Anolis sagrei: one gene and its partners. Each later gene encodes a partner of the first gene's protein in a complex. Links are inferred from orthologs where the notes say so. Each region holds a gene or a part of one and is shown in the gene's direction. Other genes may lie near its edges.

The links. Proteins that work in one complex are often made in the same cells at the same time.
Region 2: the proteins of ERBB2 (region 1) and PTPN18 are in contact, whole or in part, in a crystal structure (PDB 4NND), measured with the Homo sapiens proteins. The link is inferred for Anolis sagrei from reciprocal best matches to the Homo sapiens genes ERBB2 and PTPN18. Residues at the interface, in NP_004439.2 of Homo sapiens: Leu1109, Gln1110, Arg1111, Tyr1112, Ser1113, Glu1114; in NP_055184.2 of Homo sapiens: Arg61, Tyr62, Lys63, Asp64, Val65, Arg138, Asp197, Arg198, Ser230, Ala231, Gly232, Cys233, Gly234, Arg235, Arg268, Ala273, Gln276.
Region 3: the proteins of ERBB2 (region 1) and GRB7 are in contact, whole or in part, in an NMR structure (PDB 2L4K), measured with the Homo sapiens proteins. The link is inferred for Anolis sagrei from reciprocal best matches to the Homo sapiens genes ERBB2 and GRB7. Residues at the interface, in NP_004439.2 of Homo sapiens: Pro1135, Gln1136, Pro1137, Glu1138, Tyr1139, Val1140, Asn1141, Gln1142, Pro1143, Asp1144; in NP_001025173.1 of Homo sapiens: Ser437, Arg438, Glu439, Gln442, Arg458, Glu459, Ser460, Asn463, Gly466, Val468, Lys476, Lys478, His479, Tyr480, Leu481, Ile482, Tyr492, Phe493, Ser494, Met495.

Annotation. Positions count from the first base shown.
Region 1 is NC_090026.1:42,798,715-42,806,504, reverse strand, and holds the start of ERBB2 (receptor tyrosine-protein kinase erbB-2), read left to right. Parts: upstream 1-4,771; 5' UTR 4,772-5,024; coding exon 5,025-5,106; intron 5,107-7,790. UniProt on the Homo sapiens protein: Protein tyrosine kinase that is part of several cell surface receptor complexes, but that apparently needs a coreceptor for ligand binding. Essential component of a neuregulin-receptor complex, although neuregulins do not interact with it alone.
Region 2 is NC_090022.1:193,665,594-193,673,190, reverse strand, and holds the start of PTPN18 (tyrosine-protein phosphatase non-receptor type 18), read left to right. Parts: upstream 1-4,595; 5' UTR 4,596-4,670; coding exon 4,671-4,763; intron 4,764-7,597. UniProt on the Homo sapiens protein: Differentially dephosphorylate autophosphorylated tyrosine kinases which are known to be overexpressed in tumor tissues.
Region 3 is NC_090026.1:42,671,201-42,678,598, reverse strand, and holds the start of GRB7 (growth factor receptor-bound protein 7), read left to right. Parts: upstream 1-4,396; 5' UTR 4,397-4,580; coding exon 4,581-4,602; intron 4,603-7,398. UniProt on the Homo sapiens protein: Adapter protein that interacts with the cytoplasmic domain of numerous receptor kinases and modulates down-stream signaling. Promotes activation of down-stream protein kinases, including STAT3, AKT1, MAPK1 and/or MAPK3. Promotes activation of HRAS.

The DNA of each region.
Region 1 (7,790 bases):
GGATTGCGGCAGTAGGAAGGTTGAGAAACATTGATATAGTGTTATCTAAAAAAAGTTGGAAAACGAGTAAAAATCAACTGACAATGAGTGTGTGTTTCATAGAATAGTCATAGTAGTTGTGTGTTCAATATGTTTTTATTAGTGCTGGAATTATTTATGTTGTAATAGTTTTATATCTATTATGAAGAAATGTTTTTCTGTATTGTATTATATTCTGAATAAAAACCAATAAAGAGAAAAGAAAGCTAACGGCATGTTTTGTGTTTCAGCTGCTTGAAACCTGGTATGTTTCCACCCCTGTTCCGAACAAGTACTATGGTAACATTTGTTGACTAAACAGTAATGTTTCCCCACTTCTTTCAGTTCCTCGGAAAACCACTTACGCCCATGTTTTGGCAATGTTCAAGTATATCCACTTGATTGAAGTAACCAAGATGAAACATTTGTTTAAGCAGTGAATCAACTGAAGCCGAAGTTATTGTCAAGTCAGATTCAACTTATACTGACCTTATGGATGCAGGATGTCAATGAGTTCAGTGACCTATAGCCCTGCTCAGGTTCCTCATACTCAGGGATTTGGCTTCCGTGATTGACTCAATCCATCCTCATTGTGGTTTTCCTCATTTCTCATTACACTATGTAACAAAATTTGAAAAAAATTCTGTTCCTGGTTTGAAAGTGTTATTTCCTGTTTAATTGTGCGGTATTTACCTTGAAAGTAGTTGTTATATTCCAGAAATCATAGAATCATAGAATCAAAGAGTTGGAAGAGACCTCGTGGGCCATCCAGTCCAAACCCCTGCCAAGAAGCAGGAATATTGCATTCAAATCACCCCTGACAGATGGCCATCCAGCCTCTGTTTAAAAGCTTCCAAAGAAGGAGCCTCCACTACACTCCGGGGCAGAGAGTTCCACTGCTGAACGGCCCTCACAGTCAGGAAGTTCTTCCTCTTGTTCAGAGGGAATCTCCTCTCTTGTAGTTTGAAGCCATTGTTCCGCGTCCTAGTTTCCAAGGAAGCAGAAAACAAGCTTGCTCCCTCCTCCCTGTTGCTTCCTCTCACATATTTATACATGGCTATCATATCTCCTCTCAACCTTCTCTTCTTCAGGCTAAACATGCCCAGCTCCTTAAGCCGCTCCTCATAGGGCTTGTTCTCCAGACCCTTGATCATTTGAGTCGCCCTCCTCTGGACACATTCCAGCTTGTCAATATCTCTCTTGAATTGTGGTGCCCAGAATTGGACACAATATTCCAGGTGTGGTCTAACCAAAGCGGAATAGAGGGGTAGCATGACTTCCCTAGATCTAGACCAGGGGTCCTCAAACTTTTTAAACTGAGGGCCAGGTCACAGTCCCTCAAACTGTTGGAGGGCCGAGTTATAATTTGAAGAAACATTAATGAATTCCTATGGATACTGCATATATCTTATTTGTAGTGCAAAAAACACTTTAAAACAATACAATAATTAAAATAAATAACAATTTTAGCAAATATAAATTTATTAGTATTTCAATGGGAAGTGTGGGCCTGCTTTTGGCTGATGAAATAGGGTTGTTGCTGTTGTGGTTGTTGTTGTGTGCTTTTAAGTCATTTCAGACTTAGTTTGATCCTGAGCGAGGGCCGGGTAAATAACCTCTGAGGGCCGTATCTGGCCCCCGGGCCTTAGTTTGAGGACCCCTGATCTAGACACTATGCTCCTATTGATGCAGGCCAAAATCCCATTGGCTTTTTTTTGCGCCACATCACATTGTTGGCTCATATTTAACTTATTGTCCACAAAGACTCCAAGATCTTTTTCACACGTACTGCTCTCAAGCCAGGCACCCCCCATTCTGTATCTTTGCATTTCGTTTTTTCTGCCTAAGTGGAGTATCTTGCATTTGCCCCTGTTGAACTTCATTTTGTTAGTTTTGGCCCATCTCTCTAATCTGTCAAGATCGTTTTGAATCCTGCTCCTGTCCTCTGGAGTATTGGCTATCCCTCCCAATTTGGTGTCGTCTGCAAACTTGATGATCCTGCCTTCTAGCCCTTCATCTAAGTCATTAATAAAGATGTTGAACAGGACCCGGCCTAGGACGGAACCCTGCGGCACTCCACTTGTCACTTCTTTCCAGGATGAAGAGGAAGAATTGGTGAGCACCCTCTGGGTTCGCCCATTTAACCAATTACAGATCCACCTCACCGTAGTTTTGCCTAGCCCACATTGGACTAGTTTCCTTGCCAGAAGGTCATGGGGGACCTTGTCGAAGGCCTTACTGAAATCCAGGTACGCTACATCCACGGCATTCCCCGCATCTACCCAGCTTGTAACTCTATCGAAAAAAGAGATCAGATTAGTCTGGCATGACTTGTTTTTGATAAATCCATGTTGACTATTAGCGATGACCGCATTTGATTCTAAGTGTTTGCAGACCACTTCCTTAATAATCTTTTCCAGAATCTTGCCTGGTATCAACGTGAGGCTGACCGGACGGTAGTTGTTTGGGTCATCCTTTTTTCCCTTCTTGAAGATTGGGACCACATTGGCCCTCCTCCAAATGTGTGTTTTGTGGCTGACACAAGCTATGTTGAATTGGTTGAAACTTAATTAGCAATTAAGATCCTCTAAACTGGTGTCCAGCGGGATTTTGATTTTATTATATTGGTACCAGCAGGCGTGATATATTAGAAGGTATAATACCAAGATATAATACCATTGAAAAATTATAGCAAAATGTACTGCAGGACTTAATAAACTTTCCCCATGTTTTTATGATAGAACCAATGATAGGAAATTACATTTATAACCTAGGAACAAAAATTGTGTTAGCATATTTATTTATTTACAAATTTTATATGCCGCCTTTCTCACCCCGAAGGGGGCTCAGAGCGGCTTACAAGGCATATATTATATACATACAATATATTATATTATTAGCACAGTACAATATCAGCATTAAACATTGCTATATTGCACCATACCACTATATCGTAATATTATTAGGAATATTACATCTATATAAATAAAAATGTAATGTTCATTTGTGGGATTAACAGAACTCAAAAACCACTGGATGAATTGACACCAAATTTGGACACAAGACACCTAACAACCCAATGTATGTCTTTCACTAAAAAAATGATTTTGTCATTTGGGAGCTGTAGTTGCTGGGATTGATAGTTCACCTACAATTAAAGAGCATTCTGAACCCCACCAATGATGAAATTGAACCAAACTTGGCACACAGTTCTCCCATGACCAACAGAAAATACTGGAAAGGTTTGGTGGGCAGTGCCCTTTGGTTTTGGAGTTGTAGTTCACCTACATCCAGAGATCACTATGGACTCAAACAATGATGGACCTGGACCAAACTCTATACAAACACTCAATATGTCCGAATGCGAACTCTGGTAGAGTTTGGGGTAAATAAAATCTTGACATTCGGGAGTTGTAGTTGCTGGGATTTATAGTTCACCTACAATCAAAGAGCATTCTGAACCCCACCAACGATAGAATTGGGCCAGACCTCCCACAGAACCCCCATGTGGGCCACAGCAACGCGTGGCAGGGGACGGCTAGTCTGGGATAAACAGGAAACCTGTGATCATAACTCAGATAACTAAGGGCCCTTTTTCACATCTTTATATCCCAGAATAGAAAGGCAGAAAATCCCACAATAACTGGGTTATCCGAGTCCACAGTCAGATAATGTGGGATTTCCTGCCTTGATGTTCTGGGATATAAGGTTGTGCAGAAGGGCCTATAGCAGTGTTTCTCAACCTGGGGGTTGGGACCCCTGGAGGGGTCACAAGGGGGTGTCAGAGGGGTCACCAAAGACCACAAGAAAACACAGTATTTTCTGTTGGCCATGGAGGTTCTGTGTGGGAAGTTTGGCCCAATTCAGTCGTTGGCAGGGTTCAAAATGCTCTTTGATTATACGTGAACTATATAAATCTATTTTCCCTAAACCCCACTAGTGTTTACATTTGGGCATATTGAGAATTCGTGCCAAGTTTGGCCCAGATCCATCATTGTTTGAATCCACAGTGCTCTCTGGATGTAGATGAACTACAACTCCCAAAACTCAAGGTTCAATTCCCACCAAACTCTTCTAGTATTTTCTCTTGGTCATGGGTGTTCTGTGTACCAAGATAGGTTCAATTCCATCATTGGTGGAGTTCAGAATGCTCTTTGATTGTAGGTGAACTAGAAATCCCTGCAACTACAACTCCCACAGGGCAAAATCAATACCCTCCTCCAATCCCACCAGTATTTAAATTTGGGTATATTGGGTCTTTGTGCCAAGTTTGGTCCAGTGTATGAAAATACATCCTGCATATCAGATATTTACATTACTATTCATAACAGCAGCAAAATGACAGCTATGAAGTAGCAATGAAACTAATTTTATGGTTGGGGGTCACCACAACATGAGGAAGTGGATTAAGGGGTCATGGCATTAGGAAGGTTGAGAACCACTGGCCTATAGTTATCTGAGGGTCCCTCCAGACAGGCCCTATATTCCAGGATATGATCCCAGGTTTTCTGCTTTAAACTGGATTATATGAGTCCACACTGCCAGAGAAAACCTGGGATGAGATCCTGAGATATAGATCCTGCACACTCAGATATTGTGGGATTTCTTGCCTTGGGATATAGGGCTGTGTGGAAGAGTCCTGAGTCGTGGCAGTGAAAGCAGTGCTCAACTTGGCCTCTTCCAAAGTGTGTCCCAAAGTGGAATGAATGGCTTTGCAGCGTGAGCCGGATTCCTCCTCGGGGGCGCGCCGCGCGCGTTCCCGACGCTCAAGGTTGGAGGAGAAAGAAGGTGGTGGCTTCTCTCTTTCTCTCCTTTCCCTTCGCGGAAGTGGGAAGCAAAAAGTCGGAGTTGTGAAGTTGGGATCGGGAAGGAAAGTGGGACGAGCAAGCTCTTGCAAAGGCAAACCAACCGATCGGGCTGGATTCGGAGGAAAGGATTTGGAAAAGAAGAAGGAACTCCTCCAGCCAAGTTTGGAAGGATGAGCCGGGCTTGGTCATGACAAAACAATGGGGCCCTTTCTCAGCCCCGGTTGGCTTGGCTTGGGGTTCCTCCTGGGATCGGTTCTGCCCAGGGTTTGGGCCACCGAAGGTAAGTCCAAGTTGCATTGTTTGGGTTCCTACAAACAGACACAAGCAAAAAAATGAGATTTGAGGACTGTGGAAAGAGGGCAGGGACAATTTGGCTAGATCTACATTGCATTGTATGTTCAATATAGACCATGTATGGGCAAACTTGAGCCCTGCAGGTGCTTTGGACTTCAACTCCCATCATTCCTCACAGCCTCAGGCCCTTTCCTTTCCCCCCACAGCCGCTTAATGCAGTTTGATACTCCTTTAATTGCATTTGCTCAGTGTTATGAAGTGCTGGGAATTGTAGTTTGGGGAGGGACCAGCACTTTAGTACACAAAGCTAAAGATCCTGTAAAACTTTAATACTGTCCCAATTAATGCAGTTTGATACTCTTTTAATTGCATTTGCTCAATGTTATGGAGTGCTGGGAATTGTAGTTTGGGGGAGGGACCAGCACTTTGGTACAGAAAGCTAAAGATCCTGTAAAACTTTAATAAGGTCCCAACTGATGCAGTTTGATACTCCTTTAATTGCATTTGCGCGATGTTATGGAGTGCTGGGAATTGTAGTTTGTAGCTTAAGTACTAATTTGATACTCCTAATTTGATACTCCTTTAATTGCATTTGCCCAATGTTATGGAGTGCTGGGAATTGTAGTTTGGGGAGGGACCAGCACTTTAGTAAAGAAAGTTAAAGATCATGTAAAACCTTAATACTGTCCCAATTAATGCAGTTTGATACTCCATTAATTGCATTTGCTCAATGTTATGGAGTGCTGGGAATTGTAGTTTGGGGAGGGACCAGCACTTTGGTACAGAAAGCTAAAGATCATGTAAAACCTTAATACTGTCCCAATTAATGCAGTTTGATACTCCTTTAATTGCATTTGCTCAGTGTTATGGAGTGCTGGGAATTGTAGTTTGTAGCATAAGTACTGTCCCAATTGATCTAGTTTGATACTCCTTTAATTGCATTTGCTCAATGTTATGGAGTGCTGGGAATTGTAGTTTGTAGCTTAAGTACTGTCCCAATTGATCTAATTTGATACTCCTTTAATTGCATTTGCTCAATGTTATGGAGTGCTGGGAATTGTAGTTTGGGGAGGGGGCCAGCATTTTGGTATAGAAAGCTAAAGATCTTGTAAAACTTCAGTACTGTCCCAATTGATCTAGTTTGATACTCCTTTAATTGCATTTGCTCAATGTTATGGAGTACTGTCCCAATTGATCTAGTTTGATACTCCTTTAATTGCATTTGCTCAATGTTATGGAGTGCTGGGAATTGTAGTTTGGGGAGGGACCAGCACAAAGCTAAAGACCTTGTAAAACTTCAGTACTGTCCCAATTAATCTAGTTTGATACTCCTTTCATTGCATTTGCTCAATGTTATGGAGTTCTGGGAATTGTAGTTTGTAGTTTAAGTACTGTCCCAATTAATCTAGTTTGATACTCCTTTAATTGCATTTACTCAATGCTATGGAATGCTGGGAATCGTAGTTTGTAGCTTAAGCGGCTGAGAGGGAAAGAGAAGGGGCCTGAGGCTGTTAGGAATGGTGGGAGTTGAAGTCCAAAGCACCTGGAGGGCCCCAAGTTTCCTAATGCCTGGTCAAGACCTTGCAAAACTCCCCAACTTCCTAGGATTCCCTTGCATTATGCCCTAGTTGCTAAAGTGGTGTCAAAGCACATTTGTTCCCTATCTGCATGTCAAAACAGTCCAGGAGTCAGGAGAGAGAAAGCAAAGCTGTTGTGCAAGTGGTTCCCATCCGCTGGGGGATTGGAAATCTTGAGAAATGGGGTCTCAGATCACTTTCCAATTGGATTGGCTGAGATTGCAGTTCAGAAGTAAACAAAACCCTGCTGGGCTCTGCCTTGGTTAATGAATGCCTTTGGTTGGAGATAGTGTGCCTCCTTCCTAGAAAGAAAGCTCTTGCAAGGTCCCCAATCAATAAATCAATCAATTGCCTTGGCCAACCCCGCCCTTACAATCTGTATTGCTGCAATCCACAGGGAACAAGCCTTATCTGGTTTCGCTTCGGTTTAGGGACGTGTGGAGATAGTAGCATACTCCAGAGATAAGTTTCACACTCATAGGTTTGGCTGCCTTTGCACTGTGTTTGTCTTGAGCTGGAGGAGTTGGGTGCTCCTTCTTTTGAAGAAAAAGTTTGCATCTACACTATAGAAGGCATGTGGTGTGACACCACTTTCACTGCTATGGAATGCTTTAGTGTGTGTTCCTCCAAGTCTTTTCTGATTTATTTATGATGACCTTCACCTCCATGTATGCATTATCCCTTTGTTCATTACATGCAACACTAAAGGCTCAGGGTTTATACTGACCCAATTAATGGATTTTGATACTCCTGCAATTGAATTTGCGCAATGTTATGGAATGCTGGGAATTGTAGTTTGGGGAGGGACCAGCATTTTGGTACAGAAAGCTAAAGACCTTGTAAAACTTCAATACTTTACCAATTAATGCATTTTGATACTCCTGTAAATTGCATTTGCTCAATGTTATGGAATGCTGGGAATTGTAGTTTGGGGCTGGACCAGCATTTTGGTATAGAATACTAAACACCTTGCAAAATTTCAATACTGTTCCAATTAATGAATTATGATACTCCTGTAATTGAATTTGCTCAATGTTATGGAATGCTGGGAATTGTAGTTTGGGGAGGGACCAGCATTTTGGTACAGAAAGAT
Region 2 (7,597 bases), on another chromosome or scaffold:
GGCAGAAGCTGGGGCTAACAGCGGGAGCTCACGCTGCTCCCCGGATTCAAACCTGCAACCTTTTGGTCAGCAAGTTCAGCAACTCAGTGGTTTAATCCACTGCGCCACCAGGGATTCTAAGGGACTGGTAGGTATCCCTTATTATAAAAGATGTCTCCTATTAGAAGACTGGAAACCTTTCCGTTATATAGACTGGACAAGATGTCAACAACTATACATTTTGGAGTGTAGGCCCTTCATAACAGCAAAAATATGTGCACCAAGTAATTTAAGAACGTGGACAATACGTTGATTTTACAGAGAAAACCTAACTCGGTCAACTTAAATCTATACTTTCATTTGATAGTTAGGTAGAGTCCCAACTTGTTAATAGCTAGTTCTTAGTTCTCAGCTCTGCATGTTATGAATTTTGATGGTCTCTTATTGCTATTTTGGGAACTTGCCAAGACTTAAACCAGACATGGCAGAGTCAGGATGGGCTAGTCTGGTTCCCGAGCTCATTTAAAAAACTGCTGTGTGGCCCTCGTGCCAAGTTCTTCAACCACTGAGCAAGGCATTCCTGAGATGAAAGGGTTTTTAAATCATTTGAAGACAAGATGGACCTGGTGCCAAAGCTATAAGTGGACATTCAGCAGGGAGTGAGGAAAGGAAGGGATCAGGAGATGATTGGAAGTATATAGGTATGGGAAAATATTTGTGCTTTTCACCTACATAGTATGGGGAACCAGTGAACACAGGGGTAAATAATAGTCACAAGTATTCCCTATTTTTTAAAAAAGGTCAAATGCTGCTAGTTTTCTTATGCCAGTCATTTTTTCAATAGCAGAAACTGGTACTACAACATTTTTTTGCAAGGTTCAACAAAAACAAAACTTTTTCCATACGAAAAACTTCACAAAACCTTCAACATTAATCCTGAAATATGAAAAAAAATTCTCCCAAAATTTAAAAAAGGCTTGTAATGTCATTTAGGAAGTAGATAAGTGTTGAGTTGTTTCATATGTAAGATTCTTCCTCAAGGTAACTAAGGGTCAACAACTGAGTAATTGCTCTTATGGCTGATTTGGTGCCTACTAGTACCAACAGTTTCAGGAGAGATAATTGTATTCAGAATAGGTGGAAAGTAAACATGATTTGCTCTACTCGATGTCTCCATTTTATTGCTTTTTCCCAACTTGACAATAACTAATAATTCAACTTCTTGGTAAACACATTGATTTCATGGGTCTGCTTTAGCTAGGAGAAACAACAGGACTCTTGAGTTATGCGTGCAGCCATTTGAAGAAAAGAGCTCAAATGAAACAGGACAAGATGTTTCAGAGTGAAAACATGAACACAAGAGCCAAAGCAGCCTTGCTGTTCTGAAAATAGTTTGTTGTATTTGAGAATTTTTGCACTTCAGGTTTATTTCAGAAGGTTAATGGGGTTCAGGAAGAAAGTGCAACCTCAGATGGGAAATTGTGCAAGGAGGAGGTATGTCCCTCTGTGTTTGGAAATGTGGGGAAAGTTTCAGTTTAGAACGTGTGGCTTTTTTATGCAAAACTTTGCATTTATCTTCACGGGCATTTCAGGTTCTCAGAAAGTTTACTTTTTTGGAATACGGGTCCTCAAATCCCCTAATCAACCTGGGCAGTGGCTACAGTGGCTGCAAGATACTAGGCAAAATAGCCCACAAAAGTTATTCTGACTCTGGCCATGTTCCAGAAGCATTCTCTCCTGACATTCCACCCACATCTATGGCAGGCATTCTCAGAGGTTGTGAGGTCTGACTCTTCTTGGTGAGATTCCTTCCTCATTCTGTGACTTGAAGAAGTGGCAGCACCAACAATGTAGCATGCAGTTTGAGATGTTATGTCCCACAAATGCCAGCAAAAGGCAGGGCTATTTTAATCATTTATTTCTTTATTCACAGTATTTATATTCCACCTTTCTCACTCTGAAGGGGACTCAGAGTGGATCACAGAACACATATATACGGCAAACATCTAATGCCTTTATACACTGACAAGACAGACAACTGTTCATAGGCAGAGATATATTTCGGCTTTACCATCTTCGGCATCTTGGAGGCTGTGCTCAGTTCTGGTCACAAAGGGGTGCTGTCGCTCCACCTTCCCTGCCAAAGAGCTTTGTTTGTAAACTTCCTCCTTGATTGAAACTCAAGTGTTTTTCTGGCATTTCCTTGTGGATGCCTTAAACGCCCCCCTGCTTAAGCGGTACCTATTGATCTATTGTTTTTGAAACTGCTAGGTAGGCAGAAATTGGGCTAAAGGCCAGGAGCTCACACTGACCCGGGTTTCGAGTTGTCAGCCTTTCAGTTGGCAAGATTTACTGCAGCTGGCAGTTACCCTGCTGTGCAAAACAGCCCCGCCCCCAGTTATCCCTTTAATTTAATAGTACTTAAAATAGTACTATTAAAAGTATAAAATATTTGGGACTGTCTCTGAAATCATTTCCTTGTTAGTAAGCCTCTATAAGCCAAGAAGATTTATTATTACTTACACTTTTCTCTAATGAGGAAAAGACTACAAATAGGATTCTTTTCCTCTCTTCTGTGAGGTAGAACAGAGTAAATGTGCGTGTGACCAGCCCCAAGTCACCAAATGAATTTCATGACCGAGTCCCAGTTCACGGGCCCTTTCATACAACACTATTTCATATAACACCAGTGGTCCACCTGGTATTACAGTGCTATAACAATGTAATCTGGAGTTCTGTGGTTGAAGATTTATCTACTAGAGAATTTTTCTGGTGTCTCAGATCAAACTACAAATCCCAGAATTTAGTAGGAGGGAACTATAGTATTTTACAGTAAGGTAGTAGTGCTTCATAGTCTGATTCCCATATCTGCAGGACTTGAAGTGAATCTACAGATAATAGCAAACCCTAGAATATTATAAAACCCCAATGGAGAATCTAAAAAGTTTGCTTGTCCGAACATATCTCCCACTACGATCCACCTAGGGCCCTAAGATCATCTGGGGAGACCCTGATCGTTGTTCCCCCATTGTCACAATCGCGTCTGGCGGGGATAAGGGACAGGGCCTTTTCTGTGCCCCCCCCCCCCCGGCTATGGAACTCCCTCCCGAGTGAAATTAGATCCACTGCATCCCTCTTGAACTTCTGGAAACAAGTAAAATCCTGGCTATGGGATCAGACCTTTGTAGATTAGGCTGACTTGCTGGCATGTTGACTTATATAGAACTGATGGACTGCCCCTTGGATGATGATTTAAACTGGTGACCGCTGACTGACTGATAGATTGTTTTTATACTGTTTTTATACTGTTTTATATTGTTTAAACTGTTTGTACTATTTTATATTGTTACTAGCTGTACCCTCCACGCGTTGCTGTGGCCAACTTCCTTCCTTCTCTATCTCTTCCCTTCCTTCCCTTATTTTCTTTCTCTTCTGCTGTCTCTATTGTCTTCCTTCTCTCTTTCCTTCTTTCCTTCCCTCCCTCTTTCTCTACATCTTTCCCCCTTCCTTCGTTCCCTCTTTCCTTCCCTCTTTACCTTTTTTCTTTCCTTCTCTCCTTCCTTCTCTAACTTTCCTTCCAATCCCCTTTTTCTTTCCCTCCTTCTTTCTCTTCTTTCCTTCTTCTCTACTTCCTTCCTTCCTTCCTTCTCCCTTTGCTTCCATGCTTCCTTCTCCCTTTCCTTCTTTCTTTCCCTCCCTCTTTCTTTTCTTTCCTTCTTTTTCTTTGTCTCTCTCCTTCCCTACCTCTTTCTTCCCTTTTTTCTGTATTGTCATTTAGCTTTTCCTCATTTAGCCTTTTGGGGCTTTTTAAGTCCCTTCTGCTGTGTTTTTCTGTGTTTTAATGAGTGAAGGACATACATTGGGTTGTTAGGTGTATTGTGTCCAAATTTGGTGTCAATTCATCCAATGGTTTTTGAGTTCTGTTAATCCCACAAACAAACAATACATTTTTATTTATATAGATTTTATTTATATTGCCGTCAAATCATGTATCTATGTTTTTGATGTGGGTGCCATGGGGTGCCGATTTGTTAGCCGTCCTGAGTCCCTCTGCGGAAGTTGAGATAGGACGGGATATAAAAGCCTGAAATAAATAAATAAATAAATAAATAAATAAATAAATAATAAAAAGGGCAAAGTTTGTTGGAGGCAAATAAATGAAACTACAGACACTGGTTCCACCGATTCTAGGCTACTACTGTAACTGTGTAGCGTGGTAAGGCCAAAAGGTGATTCTAAGTCACATCACACTACACTTTACAGCCGGATGCTCCAAACAACACTTGTGGGGCTCAGGTACTGAGCTGCATTTTCCTCTTTCTAAGGTGCTCTTGCAAAACCTTGAATGATGCAAAATATCAATCTCTCATACATGTGTGTGAGAGAAAGAGAGATCAGAATGGGTTTCTTGTGGTGAGTTTTACCTCTTCCTTCTCATGCGCTCTTCCTTCTCATGCGCTGAGGTCACACCCCGAGATCACCGTGCGCAGAAACACCACATTCCCTTTCCCAGGAGAGGGCAAAGTGCCAGACAGGTCTGGGCCCATCCCACAAACCACAGTGGAGAGAGAGAGAGAGAGAGAGAGAGAGAGAGAGAGAGGCGTTGCACAAAAGGACCTGAACTTCCTCCTCACATTGCATTGCCTTCAGTGGTAACTCTGCATCGGTCTCTCTCTCTCCTGAGCAGAGAGATGAGTCGCTGTGCAGAGCACCTGAAGGGCTTCCTGGCCCGAGTGGAGGCTAAAGCCGGGCAGGAGAAAGGGCAGCTGGCCGAGGAATTCCAGGTGAGTCTCATGGTGGAGAGGGAAGCAAGCCCTTCATCCTCACTTCTTCTCCATGCTCCTAGTGTCTACACTGCTGGCCACAATATGGAATATTCCTTAATGATGCCATGGGCAGGCTGACTGAGAGCACATACAGACTGACAGAAAAATTCCCATATTATGTCTCTATTTCTTCTGATTTTATACTGAGTTAAAATAAACTGAACTTGGAAGCTGGCATGAAAAGTCTCAGACTGGATCCACACTGCCCTAGAAGCCAGGATCTGCTTTAAACTGAATTATAGGAGTCTACACTGCCAGATAATCTGATAAGCGAATAATCTGGGATCAGATCCTGGGATATAGAGTAGTGTGGAAGGGTCCACTTATTATATCAGAAGCTGACAGCAAATATTGTGGAATTAATAAATGTATGGATCTCACACAGCCACATAATCCAGAATATCAATGCTGAAAATCCCACAATATCTGCTCTAAACACCACCATTTATTCCAATTCAAAGCAGATACTGTAGGTTTTTATTCAGTTGTGTGGAAGGGGCCTAAAACAATATCAGAAAGAACAGGAACAAAATATTGGATCTTTTTTTCCATCAGCCCAGATGAATCTGGACAAAACCAGAAAGTCCCAGATTTTGTTCTGCCCCCCCCCCTCATTTTATTTAGGATATTTTCTATTGACTTCTGGTATTTAAAGATCATCCGGGGAGGCCTTGCTCTCACTCCCGTCAACAGCACAAATGCGTCTGGCAGGGACGAGAGACAGGGCCTTCTTGGCTGTGGCCCCCTACCTATGGAACACACTCCCAAATGTGGTGAGATCCGCTCCCTCCCTCCTGGCATTTAGAAAAAAAATAAAATCTTGGACGAGGCCTTCGGACAGTAGATGTATGTAGCATTTTAGAGGGACACTGACTGGAACAGCGATTCAACTGACGAGACTGTGTTATTGTTTTGATGCTTGTTGATGTATTGTTTTAATTGTGATTTATGTTTAATTGTGGTTTTACTATTGTAATTGTTAGTATTGGCATCGTATTGGTGCCCAACGTAAGGCATTGAATCTTGCCATTATTTATGTGTAAACCACTTTGAGTCCCCCCAGGGATGAGAAAGGCAGTATGTAAATACTGTAAATAAATAGATAGATAGATAGATAGATAGATAGATAGATAGATAGATAGATAGATAAAGTGGATATAAGTGATTTTAATATTTCCATATGTTTATGGTTTTATGTCCCGGCATTGATTGTTTACCATATATACTGTATGTTGTGCTCCGCCCTGAGTTCCCTGTTGGGTGAGAAGGGCGGAATATAAATCTTTAAAATAAATAAATAATAAATAAATATGATCATAGACTTTTGATACTAGTTTCCCAGATCTGTTTCTCTTAGCGCAGTATAAAATCGGAGAGAACGGGAACAAAACCTGAGCTGGCAACAAAGTTCCCTGTATTCTTCCTGCCAGGTTTTGCATACTTGTACACAATAGACAAAAATCCAACCCGTGTAGGGGGTTCCTGCTTCCGCATCTCTCTTCCAAGAACAAGTTAAATTTCTGTTGAATTTCTGTCTGACTTAGCAAGGACCATGGCCAGGGGGGAAACAGGGTTGCTCACTCACCTGGTCAGTACCTGTACAGAATTGGCCTGCTTTAAACACCTCCAAAAAGTAATTCTTTGGCTCATGTTTTGCTGCCGTGGACTCCAGTTGAGACATAGGTGTGTACTGCGGTGGCCCATCTTGCTTTTCATTCAATCACTCTTGAATTATGCCCCTTCTCCTGCTAATGTCAATATATGTAAAATACATTACATGCATGAGAAAGAATAAAGAGGGCCAGCATGCTGCAGTTGCTAGACACCATGAAACAGGTCCTCAACCACCTCCTAGTAACTGTGGGCTCTCATATTTCCATTGTTGACAATGTAAAGTGATCTGTCTCAGGCTAAAACAATGTCAGTAGCAGAGATGGGACTTTCCAGATTGGCTTCCATATTTCACCTACAGGCCAGTGGTTCTCAACCTGTGGGTCCCCAGATGTTTTGGCCTACAACTCCCAGAAACCCTAGCCAGTTTACCAGCTGTTTGGACTTCTGAGAGTTGAAGGCCAAAACATCTGGGGACTCACAGGTTGAGAACCACTGACCTATATGAAAAGCCCGCATGACAATTTGTGCTTGTTCTGTTATGGCGAGGATGCAGCAGGAACTTCCTTGCGAATGCCTTCTGAGAGAACTCTGAGGAAAAATACAAACTACTGAGCTCTGAATCAGGAGATTCAAGTGTCACTTTCACCATCTTCATGAATATATTAGGTGACCTTACATTAGAGTTAATTTTTTCACATCCTCCATAAGGGATAATAGTACTGGCTTAATTGAGAGCAAGAAGCCCCTGGTGGCTCAATGGGTTAAACCCTTGTGCCAGCAGGATTGCTAACCGACAGGTCAGCAGTTCGAATCTCAGGAGAGTGGATTAAGCTCCCTCTGTCAGCTCCAGCTTGTCCGAACGCTTTTGCCCCTACGTCCCACCTCGCAATTTAAGATCATCCAGGGACACCCTGCTCTCACTCCTGTCAACAGTGCAAATGCGGCTGGCAGGGATGAGGAGCAGGGCCTTCTCGGCTGTGGCCCCCCGCCTATGAAACACACTCCCAAAGGAGGTAAGATCTGCTCCCTCGCTCCTGACCTTTAGAAAAAAATTTAAATCATGGTTCTGGGACCAGGCCTTCGGACAATAGATATATGCAGCTTTTCGTGGGACAAGGACTAGAACAGTGACTCAACTGATGAGATTGTTTTATGGTTTTAATAGCTGTTTTGATATT
Region 3 (7,398 bases), about 130 kb from region 1:
CTATCCCATTTGGAAAGGTACAAACTGACTAGAAATAATTCCACCTAAATTCAATACGTCTTAATGTCTCGTTGAAGACTTTCATGTCTGGAATCACTGGAGTGTGGTGCAGTTTCCGGGCTGAATGGCTGTGTTCTAGCAGCATTTTCTCCTGACTTTTTGCCTGCGCCTGTGGCTGGCATCCTCAGAGGATCTAGAACATACAGCCCAGAAACCACACAACACTTCAGTATATCTTATTTCTGAGTATGCAAGATTGTACTAAAACTGGAGAGTTTTAACCTCTTAATGTATATATGTTATAAATAACTTTTCAATAACTTTAAAGTATATGTTCTTATGTACTTATGATGTTGTTGCTTGTTGCTTATGTTTTGGTTTTATTTTGCTGTAATATGTTGTCTGGGCTTGGCCTCATGTAAGCCGCCCCGAGTCCCTGTCGGGGAGATGGTGGCAGAGTATAAATAAAGTTTATTTATTCTTTTTATTGCGATTTTCCAGTATGAGAAAGGATATCAGAACTTTTAAATTTTTACAGAACAACATTTGACATGCAGGCATGCAGTTTTAATGCAACTACATTGAATGCACAAACAACCTACACTGGCTAACAAACAAACAAAGGGGAATTACATTTTTACTCAGCATTTTATTTATTTATTTATTTACTTTGCTTATATACCGCTGTTCTCAGCCCAGGGGCATTCACATTACCCATATATTCATCTTCATGCATACATTCCTCCGTCATCTCCTGGAGAAGAACATATCTTAAGTCAGATTCCCAATATTTCAAAAACCTCTAAAACTTCTAAAATTCTAAAATGCATCCTCTTTCCCTAAAAACAATGCCAAGGATCAGATCCCTGTTTTCCATATAGCAGAAACTGACTCCCTGCACAAAATCCAAAACTCCAAAATTACACTCCTTTCTCTTCCCTTGAGAAAAGGAGGCAAGTGACCAAACTGCGTTCCATTGCAGATCTGTCACTCCCAAATACATACACCATCTCTCTCTTTCCCAAGGAGCAGAGCATTGGGGGGGGGGGGGGGGGGGGTTGGTTTAACAGCCACTGTCTATCACTATTTTTGAATTTTAATAAGGTCTCTTGTATAACAATTTTCTGCTGATGTTGTTCCAAAGTTGTAAATAAATGATAGATATTTTTCCAGTTGGAAACATCCTGGCTTCATCGCTTCCTGGACAGATGTTGACTCTTCTTAATTGGTGTTGGTAAATGCAAGGCTTGTGTTGAGTTCCTTCTGAACATAAGGAATCTTGTAAGAATTTCCTTAACTTAAAGAGGTATTGTCTCTTATCAATGTAAACATGTTGTTTTCCCCCAAAAGTTCAACAGTTAATCATTGTCACTGGTTATTAATGTCAGCAGTTTGGCAATCTTTAATTAAAGTCCCCGAGTGTATCTGTCCTCCAGGCCTTAGTGTTCAGAATGGTGTCTCCAAAATTATTAGCTCTCATTCATTCATCTTTCATACAATTCCATTCAATTGTACATCATATATTTCATGACACATAGGGCTGGTGTGCCGAAAAGATACATAATATATAGTATATAGATCAGGGGTCCTCAACCTAAGGCCCGGGGGCCAGATATGACCCTCCAAGGTCATTTACCCAGCCCTCACTCAGGATCAACCTAAGCCTGAAACGACTTGAAAGCACACAACAACAACAACCCTATCTCATCAGCCAAAAGCAGGCCCACATTTCCCACTGAAATACTAATAAGTTTATATTTGTTAACATTGTTATTCATTTTAGTTATTGGTATTGTTTTAAATGTTTTTGCACTACAAATAAGATATGTGGAGTTTGCATAGGAATTAATTCATTTTTCCCCAAATTATAATCCAGCCCTCCAACAATTTGAGGGACTGTGACCTGGCCCTCTGTTTAAAAAGTTTGAGGACCCCTGATATAGATTTTCCTCTATATTGACTCATAGTAATGCATAGTAAGACATTATGTATGTGTGTAGCATGAATGCATTGCATGAATGTAACAAAAAAACAACCTCTGAGTCTATGAGAAAACAGTAAATCGTATATTTTTAAGAATATAAATGAAAGGTTTATATTACTATGTTGCAAAATGATGCAGGTCTAAAAAGTGTGTCACCCACACATGCAATGTTTGGAAAGCTCTGATCTAAGTACTTAAATTCTCTGCTAGAGAGCATGAAATGTTTGGATTACTCTACCATAAACCAACACAAGTTATTTGTGGCAAGAAAGAGTTCAGAGCATTTTGGATGTTCTGTAGTTAATAAATGGAAACAATGTAATACAATTATGTAAACTATAAATGTAACCATCTCAAATAACATATACTGTAGAATAAATCAGAGTGCTAAATAAGGAAAATAAGGCTCATCCGAAAAGAAGCAAATTCCTGGAAATATTGAGGCCTCCTGATTCTTTTTGTTTTGATTTTACCTGCTAGTTCCCTGGTTTCTTCCAGACTCTTTCTTGACATCGTCCAGGTTTTCTGGTGGTTTCCATTTTGAAGGCCAAATTTATAAATCAGTGCTTTTTGGAGTTCATGCCCTTCAAATACGATGTTTAGCCTCACAACTCTGTGTGTTTTATGAGTTCCATATAAATGCTCCGCCCCTATTTTATCTCATTATAGTTTAACTGTTTTTATCCTGAATATGTGGCTCACCCATTTTCATCCTTACTGTGATTGTGTTTATCTTATGATTTTTTTTCTTTTAATGTTATTTTGATGATGTTGTTGTTGTTTGCTGTATATGTTTTGATTTTACTGCTGTATTATGTTGTCCAGGCTTGGCCCCATGTAAGCCGCTCCGAGTCCCCATTGGGGAGATGGTGGCGGAGTAGAAATAAAGATTATTATTATTATTATTATTATTAAACATGCAGAAGAAGAGTTGGTTGAGGCATGCTTATCTACTCTCATAATTTCTCTCTATTTTGCTATTTTTAGTAAGTCAGTAAGGGATTCTGGAGGAATTTGCTGTATACCTTGTAACACACAGTTACAGTAGGATTGGTTGGAATAGAATCACATTCTTTCCTAATTCAAAGTTTATTGCCTTTGCTTTATTGCAGGATGTTGGACTGGATGACCCATGTGATCTCTTCCAACTCTATGGTTCTATGCATTGTTTACTACAGAGACACTTCTGCACCACAACTGCAATTCTTCCATTCATCATTAATGCTGCTAAAATCCTCACAGATTCAACGAAGATCAAGTAGGAAAAGAGGAGAAAAAGACATAAAAAGGCTTTGTAAAATGGAACTTCATTGTCAGAGGCTTTGTTAAATGTCTGTATTTTAGCCTGTTCTCCTTTGCAAAATTTCTAATTGCAACCTTTGTTTTTGTATTTTTAGTGCATGGATGCCTAAGGTAGGTCCCTTGTAACCCATGACAGTATGGATGTGAAAATGCTTATTCTGGCTGACTGAAGCCACTAGGTGCAGCTCTTCTGTGAAGGGCACGATATTTGACAAAGTCAGGGAAGCCATTTTGTAATTCCAAGGCTAAATATTGATTTTAACTTCTCACCAGCTGCCATGTTGTGACCGGATACCTGGAGGCAAATGCTTGTGTTGCCTTGAGGATTATTCATCGCTTCAAGCTCTCCTTTCGCTGCACAAAAGCTGTGAGTGAGATGCAGTCACGTTTCTTGTAAGGACTATAATAAAAAGTGCTTCCCCGGATACGACTGGCATGAATTCCCCTTGTTAAAAGTTTATCAGCCTGGGTTGAGTAAAAGATGGGAGGGAATGGTTAACCCTTCCCCTTACCACAACAAATAAAGTTTGTTTGGACAGATACCCCATATACATACGTGACCTCAGGTGACTTTCAGTATGCCTTTACAGCAGCTGAATTTTACATGAAGAGCTTGAAAGCTCGGCTTGGTAAGGAGGCCGCCTCTCCCTCCCTTTTTTGGGGCTATAGTCTGTAGTTGGCCTGACATGGCCCTGCCTGTCTCCATCTCTTATGTGGACAAAAATAGCTTGGCACCCTCTGCATTTTGAGCCGCTCAGTGTCTCCAGATGACTTCTGTTCCATAAGAAGAATGACCCAGACAGATTTGACCTGCATGCAGTGGAGCAGCCGTGGCCACCTTCTTCATGATGGTCCTTCAGATTAATTAAGCATCTTGGGGACTGAGAGCAAGGGATGAGAAGGGAGGGGGCTGTCAGAAGATGGGAAGGGTACAGAGTGAGCCATGCCGGATGGATCCTCCGTAGTCGTCACTATTTGAAGCATCCAGTCCTGTCATCTTAGCTGAGTGTGAAGCATATGGGACTTCAGCAGCCAGGGGAAGGGAGGGGTTTGGAGGCGTGGAAAGAACCCTTTGCGCAGTTACAGGCAGAATCTCTTTGGAGTAAAGTGGAGAAGACGGTGTCGGCGTCCTGGCTTTGGCCAGCGGGGCCACTCAGTTCAAGAAGGTGCGCAGCATACAAGAGACCCAGAATTTGCACCAAAGGAGAGCTGTAGGGGTGGTCTTCTGTTGTGTCTGGAACACCACAGTCACCCCACCCCACCTGCAAAGCATCCACCAGCCCTGGGCAAAGGAATGTGTTGCTGTCCTCTACAAGGTAACCACTCATCTCGGGGGGTTGTGGTCATGGAGGTCATGAAGTGTGAAGACCAGGCATGAGAGTCATCATTATTCATTTGGAAGCTAAGCCTCTTAGTTGGTGGGTAGGTGTGGTTTGAGACTCCTTAAAGAGTAAAGCAAATGGATTCATATCTTCTCCAGGATGGAATATTCCCATCTCCTGGTAGTAGAAAAAAACCCATTAAGGGTCAAGCCTGCTTTCAACTTCTTTTGTATGTGGTATTTGTAAATACTCAACGGTGAGGATAAGAACTTCATATCTGTTTTGTGATACCATTGTAATTGTTTCTCTGGAACACAGAGGTAATTCTACTTGTAAATTGTCATTTTGTAGTTGTGAGACAACACAACTGTGCCTTTGCATGTAATGAGGTTAGATACTTGCACCTACATTTGAGGCTGTGCCAATATACTGTTGAGAGCATTAATAGTTATGCATCCACATGTATGTCCAGGACAAGAAAGAGTAATCAAAATTCAATGGCAAAGAGAAGATTTGTGCAATCTTTTGATGCTAGATTGTATGACATGGTCTGAAGCAGTCTAGTCCATTGATGTGTGTGTGTGTCTGCACTGGTACACTTGTGTCCACATAAGCAAACACAGAGCATCATAGAATCATGTTTGTATATGTTCATGGTTCTAATACGGAATATGGGTACAGTTACCCATCTGTGTTTCGGTGAATACATGCTCATCTATGTTCTTTCCCTATTTGCTTATATGTTAGCATTTACAGATACTACCTTGAAAGAGAATTAAAAAGTAGTTGAAGGTGAGTTGTTTTCTTCCTGTGTTGTGCAGATGGGTGTCTCTTCGGCTTTTGTTCCTCATTAAAGGGGTTTTCAAAGGCCAATAGAACCAAACCTATTTCTTGAAACAACAATAGAATAGAATGGCTGCGTATGACTAGGTATTAATCACTCTTTCAATCCACCTTAAACAATTTAAGGAGGGTAGAAGTTGCCAGTTCTACCCTCCAATGCTTTGTCCTCAAAATTTACTGCTCAAACCATATGATATACCTGAAGTCAAATTTTACTGGACTTTTTTGGCCTATTATTGTTCCAAGACTCATATTTATAGTTGGGGCAAGGAGACACATGCTTGATATGCTATAGTCACATCAACACTATGCACCAGTGATTTGCAAAATCTAGTCCTCCAGGTATTATGAACTTCAACTCCCAGGAGCCTCAAGTGTCTTGATCGGTTAGTGAGGATTCTGAGAGCCGAATCCAAAATACTTGGAAAACCAGAGTTTGGAAACACCACTGTTGTAAGACTGACCAGGCTGCAGCTAATGGTCGTAAGAGCTGTTTAAAGTTGGATTCATAACTGGATTTGACCTGCCACAGCTCTTGTTAGATAAACAACCAACAATATATAGCTGTGAGACTGTTATTTACACACACACACACACACACAGAATACAGTCTCACAGCTATATATATCTATAATTGTTTCTCAGTTCTGGGTTGTTTGAGCAATATTCTGTATCGGATGAAAAAAAATCAAATCTGTCTCTCTTCATATGAAGACAGGGGTCCTCAAACTGTTCAGAGGGCCAGGCGACAATCCCTAAAACTGTTGGAGGGCTGGATTATAATTGGGAAAAAATCATGAATTAATTCCTATGCACACTCCACATATCTTATTTGTAGTCAAAACGCACTTTAAAACAATACAATAATTAAAATTAAGAATAATTTTAACAAATATAAAATTAGCATTTCAATGGGAGGTATGGGCTTGCTTTTAGCTGATCAGATAGGATTGTCGTTGTTGTTGTTGTTGTTGTTGTTGTTGTTGTTGTGTGCTGTCAAGTCATTTCAGACTTAGGTTGACCCAGGGCCTTAGTTTGGGGACCCCTGTCTAAGAACATAGCATTCTAGATATTTGTAAAAGGTAGCAAAGTATTGGGATAGAGCTTAAGGAAACTCAAAGGAAAGGCCTGAGAGAGTTGAATTTGAGGCAGCTTAAAATGTTGTTTACTTCTTTGGCAGTCTGATGTGAGCAGAGGATTTTGAGCGGGAATGTTGAAGCCATGTCCCCATCTCTGCTCAACCTGTGTATAAATGGAGGGCTGAGAGATTATTGATAAAGTACAATAAAAAGTAAACAAATAACCAGTAACCAATAAACCCCTGGTGAACGTCTTTCAAAGGAACTAAAAGCAAGAAAGCATTGTATACGTGGAAATTCTCACTGTTCAAAGAAATCTGGTGACCATAAGAATAGGTCTTGCGTCAGACACTGTTTTTATTATATTTGCTCAGCCATTGTTTTAACATCTTTTTATTGTGAGCAGCTCTAGGAGAGTTTGCTTAAAAGGCAGGTTAAAAAGATTGACTGATTAAATGTTCAAACATTACAACATTTTTTGCATTATACAGAAAAGGCATCCTAGGGCCCTGGCAGGCTTTGGAAAAGAAAAAGTTTGCTTCTTGAGTTTTGTTTTGTTTCTGTTTTTGCCAAGGTCTTGGATTACTGCTGATTTCAAACTCCCATCGGCAAGGATGAGACAGCAATTCAACACTCTGCCAAGGCTGTTGCAGCTGTCCAGCCCTCATAACCCTCACTGGTTTTATACGTCAGCTTTCATGCAATGAGACACCTCCCTCCCTGCTCTTCTTTTGAGGAAAAGCTTCTCAAAGTTAGTGTTTGCACCCAGCACTGTATTCCAACCAAGTCACTTTGCCCCAGAAGCAAATCCCTTCCCTAGTTAGCCTTTATCCTTTCACATTTTGGTTGCTCTGTCATGTTCCCATGG